Rattus norvegicus: one gene and its partner. Each later gene encodes a partner of the first gene's protein in a complex. Links are inferred from orthologs where the notes say so. Each region holds a gene or a part of one and is shown in the gene's direction. Other genes may lie near its edges.

The links. Proteins that work in one complex are often made in the same cells at the same time.
Region 2: the proteins of Musk (region 1) and Dok7 are in contact, whole or in part, in a crystal structure (PDB 3ML4), measured with the Mus musculus proteins. The link is inferred for Rattus norvegicus from reciprocal best matches to the Homo sapiens genes MUSK and DOK7. Residues at the interface, in NP_035074.2 of Mus musculus: Leu547, His548, Pro549, Asn550, Pro551, Met552, Tyr553, Gln554, Arg555; in NP_001335203.1 of Mus musculus: Leu154, Ser155, Asp156, Leu157, Arg158, Arg159, Tyr160, Gly161, Gly172, Thr173, Arg174, Ser193, Asp197, Val200, Arg201.

Annotation. Positions count from the first base shown.
Region 1 is NC_086023.1:77,940,711-77,944,362, forward strand, and holds part of Musk (muscle, skeletal receptor tyrosine protein kinase precursor), read left to right. Parts: intron 1-581; coding exon 582-845; intron 846-2,363; coding exon 2,364-2,539; intron 2,540-3,176; coding exon 3,177-3,200; intron 3,201-3,652.
Region 2 is NC_086032.1:79,913,867-79,917,518, reverse strand, and holds part of Dok7 (protein Dok-7), read left to right. Parts: intron 1-627; coding exon 628-858; intron 859-2,403; coding exon 2,404-2,604; intron 2,605-3,652. UniProt on the Homo sapiens protein: Probable muscle-intrinsic activator of MUSK that plays an essential role in neuromuscular synaptogenesis. Acts in aneural activation of MUSK and subsequent acetylcholine receptor (AchR) clustering in myotubes. Induces autophosphorylation of MUSK.

The DNA of each region.
Region 1 (3,652 bases):
TGCCTCACAAGCAAATGTTCAGTAAGGATTGTCACCACTGTCCCAATAAACAAGTGACAACGTAGCCCACATGGGAATGTACTGAGCACTGCAGTAACAGACCGTTCTTAAAGCTAAGTTTTTTCCGTGGGAGCAATTGTTCTGTTCTCTCGTCTGTTATCCGCTGGGATGAATGCTTTCCTTGGATTATACCAGTTTATGTGCAGGAAATATGTGAGCTGACTGCAGTTAGAACAATCATATTTATGTATAACATAAACAACAAAAATGCCCAAATTCACTCTGTTGACCATTTCCAAAGCTTGCCACAGCCTTTGCCACAGCCTGAGGTGTCTAGAGATGACCGGGTTGGTGCCAGAAATGGAGAGAATATTCATAAGAAACATTTCGATACATTTGTCAGGACAGTCTCTCTATTTCTGTGATGTGTGTGTGTGTGTGTGTCTTTGTGTGTGTGTGTCTTTGTGTGTGTGTGTGTATGTCTGTGTGTGTGTGTGTGTGTGTGTGTGTGTGTGTGTGTGTGTGTAATGGATGCCAAGAAATTGCTGACGATTGGCTTTGCCCTTCATCACCTCTTTCAGCAAATCACAGAAAGAAAGCAAAGGCTACTGTGCCCAGTACAGAGGGGAGGTGTGTGATGCCGTCCTGGTGAAAGACTCTCTTGTCTTCTTCAACACCTCCTATCCCGACCCTGAGGAGGCCCAAGAGCTGCTGATCCACACTGCGTGGAATGAACTCAAGGCTGTGAGCCCACTCTGCCGACCAGCTGCCGAGGCTCTGCTGTGTAATCACCTCTTCCAGGAGTGCAGCTCTGGAGTGCTACCTACTCCTATGCCCATTTGCAGGTAAAACTTTGAAAATGAGCCAGTAAAAAAATGCGTTTTTTGCCTCACTGTATGCCAACAGTTTGCCAAAGAAGGAATTGCCATGAGCGGAAAGTCAGACAAATTTTGCCATTTGCCCAAAAGAAATAATTAAAGCATGAAATCCCTCCCATTATAACCACTGAGGGCAATCTATGATACAAATGCTCTGAACTTACAGAAAATCTTAGAGTCTGGGTCAGTCAGAAAGTTGTCTTGTATACCGCAAACAAGCTCTGTGACTTACGTGTGCATATGTATGCACACACAAGTAAAACTCACTCCTTTATAAGGACATAGGACCCCTGTCATACCCCTCCCTGTGTGTATGTGTGTGCATGTGCACATGTGTATGTGCATGTAATGTATTTTAGTGTGTATGTGAGTGAATACGTGTGTGTTCGTGTGTGTGTGTGTGTGTGTGTGTGTGTGTGTGTGTGTGTGTGTCAGTACTTGGCTAAACCCAAGCCCTTTAGTACTTTAATTATTTTCCCTTTTAAGTTATCGTCCTTTTATTATTAGGCCTACCAATCTTAACTTGGAATTACCCAGGTTTCTCTTGATGTAGTTTGTCCTAGAACACTCGAATAGACATTAACGTCCAGATTTTAGTTAGCCCATTCAGTCTTTCTTCAGCTGCTCCACTCATTACACAACATCTCCAAACCTAAGGGCTACACTGAGGGCGGGGCTCTGCTTCTCCAGGGCAGGGCTGGCTAAGGAACCCAAAGCGCCCCTGTCAGCTGTTACAGGAGATGGTGCCGTTTTTCAGGGACCAACGCAGGCAGAACCTCTAAGTGTAGCCTGCTCCTTTCTCCAGCTCTGCCCATCAGCCCAGAGGTGATGGCTTCTCTTCCTTAGTTCGTATGTTCTTTAAATTGTCAACTTGGTTTCTGTATCTTTTTTTTTTCCCCCGGAGCTGGGGACTGAACCCAGGGCCTTGTGTTTGCTAGGCAAGCGCTCTACCACTGAGCTAAATCCCCAACCCCGGTTTCTGTATCTTTATTTTTAAGGTTTACTTATTTATTCTATTTTATGTGTTTAAATGTTTTTCTCTATGCATGTATGTGCACCATTTAGGTGCCTTTTGCACCCCCCTGGAGCTAGTTACAGGTGATTGCAAGCCACCACATGGGTGCTGGGAATTAAACCTGATCTTCTGCAAGGGTAGCAAACAAGTGCTTTTACTCTGAGCTATCTCTCCAGCACCTGCTCCTTTGTTTTTAATATGAACTTTGAGAGAAGATCTACCAGGACTCTTATCTAATTCATTCTAAATTTGAAAAAAAAAACACTAAACAAGATAGTATTTAATTTCACAGCGTAATACACCATGTCTTTAATGTTTTGCATTATTTAAGGTATAGTCATTTCAAAAATGCTTTTATAAGGGAAACACTACAATGTGACGATGTTTCAAAAATACAAAATTTAAGCCCCACTGCAAGTTTGGCTTCAACTCGTCATGATTCATCAAGTCTTGCTCGCCTTACATTCTAGAGAGTACTGCTTGGCAGTAAAGGAGCTCTTCTGTGCAAAGGAATGGCTGGCAATGGAAGGGAAGACCCACCGCGGACTCTACAGATCCGGGATGCATTTCCTCCCGGTCCCGGAGTGCAGCAAGCTTCCCAGCATGCACCAGGACCCCACAGCCTGCACAAGACTGCCGTATTTAGGTAACAAAGAATTTCCTCCAGACTTTGGAAGTTAAGGAAATTTTTTTTTCTTACTGTTTTCAGCCACGTTAAGGTATATACTTAAAGCTCCTAACATTTTTAGACTTTCTAGGCTGTTCTAATAATATTTTTTGCTTTGCCATTTCTACACACAAAATAGCAGAATCATAATGCTCTCCTAATTGCATAGGTTATCATAAAAACTCATTTCACTTGTTTTCAAATAAATTAAAGGGCACTTTTAACTGCTGCTTGGATCTTGCTTTATTTCTTACTGGATCTTACAAGTGTATCGTTTTCTGGAATGTATGCAAAAACGGCTAGGAAACATCTTACAGTTTGTCAGGGGAATGGCGTAACGGAATAAATAATCCTCTTCCTTAGCCAACGATGCAGATTTTTTAAGCATGCAGAAATAAGCCACATGTTTGAAAATGCTGACCTCATCAAATACAACTGAGCCACTGCATGACGACTGGTTTAATTTCAAAGATGCACTCTTCACATTTGAACGCTCGTCTGTCATTCATTTAAATGCTGAGCGGGAAAGCCGTGTTTCTTAGCTATAGCTCACAGGGTCTAGGAGGTATGTATCTTAACACTTACTTAAAATCGATTTTTATCCTTTCCCCCTCAGATTATAAAAAAGAAAACATAACAAGTAAGTAATTTTGTTTGTGCCTCTGAAATCTGTGTCTGTAAGTGGATTCGTGCATGTATATTTATACTACGCTTCTCTAAATCCAGAACACAGTGTACTGGGCGAGCATCATTAGCGCCTGCGCACAAGTGTCGGACTGAGCTCATCCACTCCCTTAGCTTCTGGCTTCTAAGTAGAACATGGAGAATGTGTGACACTTAGTGAGGGGAACAAATACTATCTTCTATCTCAAGATGGCTGGCCTGTTTTATACTTCATATGTTTGCAAACTCAGTCCAGTTTAAATGTAGCCTTCTGATTCTGCAGTCACAATTTTGTATTATGTAATTATTTCTGGATGGAAACAAATACTATTTTTTTCTCTATTGAGGTGATTCGTGATCTTTATTTGTGACAAGTATATCTGTTTTGAAAAAAAGGTGTAGTTTTTTTCCTTTTTCTTTTTTCTCTCA
Region 2 (3,652 bases), on another chromosome or scaffold:
TCTCCAGTCTTCCCTTGGTTTAGCACCACCCGCTATTTGGGGTTGCCCTGAATGAAAAGTGTTTAGGTGTTTGATTGGGTGCATGAGTCCTACCTCCTCCCCAACAGGTAGGCCCTGAGGTCCAAGTGCTGCAGGTGTGAAGGCCTGACTCTCGGGGTCCTTCTGACTAAGGCTGACGGTGTCTGGAGGGCCAGGAGGTGTGAGCATAGCTTGTGCTAGCCTACCTAGCTTCCCTAGCGGCACCCCTGGGGTGTAGTGCTGTGGCAGTGTTTACAACTCCAAGGCAGATGAGAAATGTGCTTTGGGTGAAATTCCCAGATACCTTTTCTCTGGAGGGCCTGGGAGTGAGTGAAGACTCAGTCCTCTCTGCTATAGCCAGATTAGACTCGAACATCACACTACACAGGCTGGGCAAAAGGCCAGAAGCATGGGGCTATGTGTGGGCCCAGTGACCTGATGGAATGGGCACCCGGTAAGCTCCACACGCCCAAGGCTCGTTCTTGTCCTGTGGGGTGGGTAAGTCATTTGTTCAGCCCTAGAAGGCAGTGATGAGGCCTTTTAGGAACAGTGATAAGGGCAGTGAGCAGGATGGGCAGCGTCCTGATGACCTCTTGCCTGTCTGAACAGACTGCCTGCTGATGCTGGTCTACAAGGACAGGTGTGAACGTTCAAAGGGCCTGCGGGAGCGCAGCAGCCTCACCCTGGAGGACATCTGTGGCCTGGAGCCTGCCCTGCCCTATGAGGGCCTGGCCCACACCCTGGCTATCATCTGCCTGTCTCAGGCCATCATGCTGGGCTTTGACAGCCACGAGGCCATGTGTGCCTGGGACACTCGTATCCGCTATGCATTGGGCGAGGGTGAGTGCCGCAAGGGTGGGGTTTGAGGTGAGGCCCCAGGGTCCGTCACCACTGTGGGCTGCAGAGATGAGTAAGGACCCAGGGAATCTTGTAGAAATGATGCACACGGGTAGATGTCTCAGAGTAAAAGCCAGGCAGGCCCTCATGGGTACTCAGGCCAGGGCTAGGCATGAACTCGGTGCAGAGGCTCTTTGAAGTCCCTAAAAGACCCTGTCAAAACTGGATCCCTTAGCTAACCAAGCTGGCCCAAGCCATTTAAGTAAGGGCACTCCCTAACCCCACCCTTTGGGTGGCACCTGTTCTGTACTATCCCAGAGCCCATGCTGAGGGACCCATGGGAGCCATGGGATTGACCTGCAGGGCCTCAGGGTAAAAGGAGAGAACCAACTTCAGAAAATTGTCCCCTGATCTCTACAGGCACACAGTGGCATGTGTGCATCTGCATTCCCACATGTCTCCCCCCTTCCCCCTCCCCTCCCCCTCCCCCTCACAGTGATGATACAATGATGTGTCAACAGTAGTGATAATTATGGTGATGGTGGTGATGGTGATGGTGATAAATGAACACATTGCCCGCTGCCTACCCATGCTGAGATTTAGGCAGTGGAGGAGGAAGCTTTGCTTTCATCCATCCAAGAACAGCAGAGCCTGGTGGACCTTTATTTAGCCTAGAGTCGTGGTGTGGACAGTGCAGTGAAGGTACAGGGCAGGCAATATTTGCTAGAAGCTCTCATCTTTCTAGAGAGTTCTCTGGCGCTGGTTCATAGCGTGGTTGCACCCCCCACCCCCATTCAGGCAGGACAGGGGTCCTCCCAACAATGTGGTGGGCTTCCCAGGTCCCTCTGTAGATGTTAAGAGAAAGCTGATGTGGTTGGACAGACCCCTGTAGAAGGGTGGGCTTGCAGGACAAACCCAAGGCCACAGCTGAAAGAGGACAAGGTGACGTCATTGCTAGGGTCCTCTGGCTCTGGGGTCTGGATATGAAGTGGGCAGGAGGCTGGCACGTGGGTACTACAGGGAGAGGCTGCTGTGGTTCACAGGGAGAGACCTATGAAGTGGGGTGCTCTAAGAGATGGGGGGAAAGGGAGGCTGGAATTCTGGCTGTGCTCCCTAAGGGCTTTCAGGCAAAGGGCTGCACTGACTGTAGATATAACTATGGCATCTAGCTGCCTCTGAGCCATGCTAGTCCCAGACAGACCTGCCAATCATTGCCTCCTAGTCTATACACAGGATGAAACATACTCCACTCCTGAACTTTGCTTTCCCATCTCTGAAATGGGAGCACATTGGCTGCCTTGATGGAAAGGGGCCACAAGGAGTGTCCTCAGAGCTGGGCAGTCTCCTCAGAGAACTTGCTTGTTTCTGGCTAGGGAAGATCCTGGAATATGGGTGGGATATAAGTGGGGCCCTCTGACAGCTTAGTACTTCCCGGCATATGTCCTTCATTCTTGGTTGAGTGGCCGTGAGAGCATGGCCCCTGCCTGATCATCTCCTCCCAGCTCATTCACCCCGGTAATGCCCTTTTCTCCGCTGTCTGGTCCTCAGTGCATCGGTTCCATGTGACGGTAGCTCCTGGCACCAAACTGGAGAGTGGTCCAGCCACTCTTCATCTCTGCAATGACATCCTGGTCCTGGCCAGAGACATCCCTCCAACTGTCACGGGGCAGTGGAAGTTGTCTGATCTCCGGCGTTATGGGGCTGTGCCAAATGGATTCATCTTTGAAGGCGGGACCAGGTGTGGGTACTGTAAGTATGCTGTGTGGGGGACACTGGGGACACTGGGGACACTTGAGCTGATTGGCCTACGCATGTTGGCTTGGGCACCTGACGGGAGGCTGTAGTCTGTTTCTCCAAGCAACAGGGCTGCAGTTGCTTAAGCCAGGCATTGACTTGCCCATTGGCTGTTTCTGGGGATGGGAGGGAGCTTGAGGGATCCTGGGAAACCCCAGAGAGCAGCTTCATGTCACTCTATGGCTTGTGTATGAGGTCAGTGTGGGGCATGACTGGGGTCCTGTGGATGCCACAGTTAGAGAAGTACATTCACTGACCCAAAAGTCCAACAGCCCAGTGGTTCCCAACCTTCCTAACGCTGAGACCCCTTAGTACAGTTCCTCCTGTGGTGGCGACTTCCTATCATAAAATTAATTTTGTTACTTCTTCATAGCTGTGATTTTGCTACTGTTATGGACCATAATGTAAATATCTGATATATAGGATATCTGATGTGCGACTCCTGTGAAAGGGTCATTCAATCCCCAACCAGGTCAAAATACTCAGATTGAGAAGCAGTGCCTTAGACAGACCAACTGCCATGACTGCTGTGCTGCCCAGAGCTGCCTGCATGTCAACAGCGAGGCAGGGTGGGAAGGGTGGATCTGACCTGGGAGGTGGAAAGGTCCTACCCCGAGTCCCCAGGGCCACACCATGCTTGTCTCCACTCACAGTGACCAGGGTGAGGTGAGTGCAGAGGTCGCCATGCAACAGCCACGATGGGCTGGCCTCTGGTAGCCAGGATGGGAGCTCGGCAGGTGGTTGGTGTTTGGAGGACAGGGAGGCCTTTCATACCAGAAGTGAGGTGCTCCAGTGACCTCCCCCTATGCTGCTCTCTATGGGGGCTGCGTACAATGTTGTGGAGTTCAGACTTGCAGTCACCGAAGGGTCAGAACCCTTTTCCTCTCCTGAGAGGCCAGCCGCACTACACAGTGTGCTGCTGTCTGAGGTGCCCATTCTGGCAACCTGGCCAGGCCTGAGGTGCCTATGGGGAGTCGCTGTATCAAGGCCAGGGAGCCCCTGT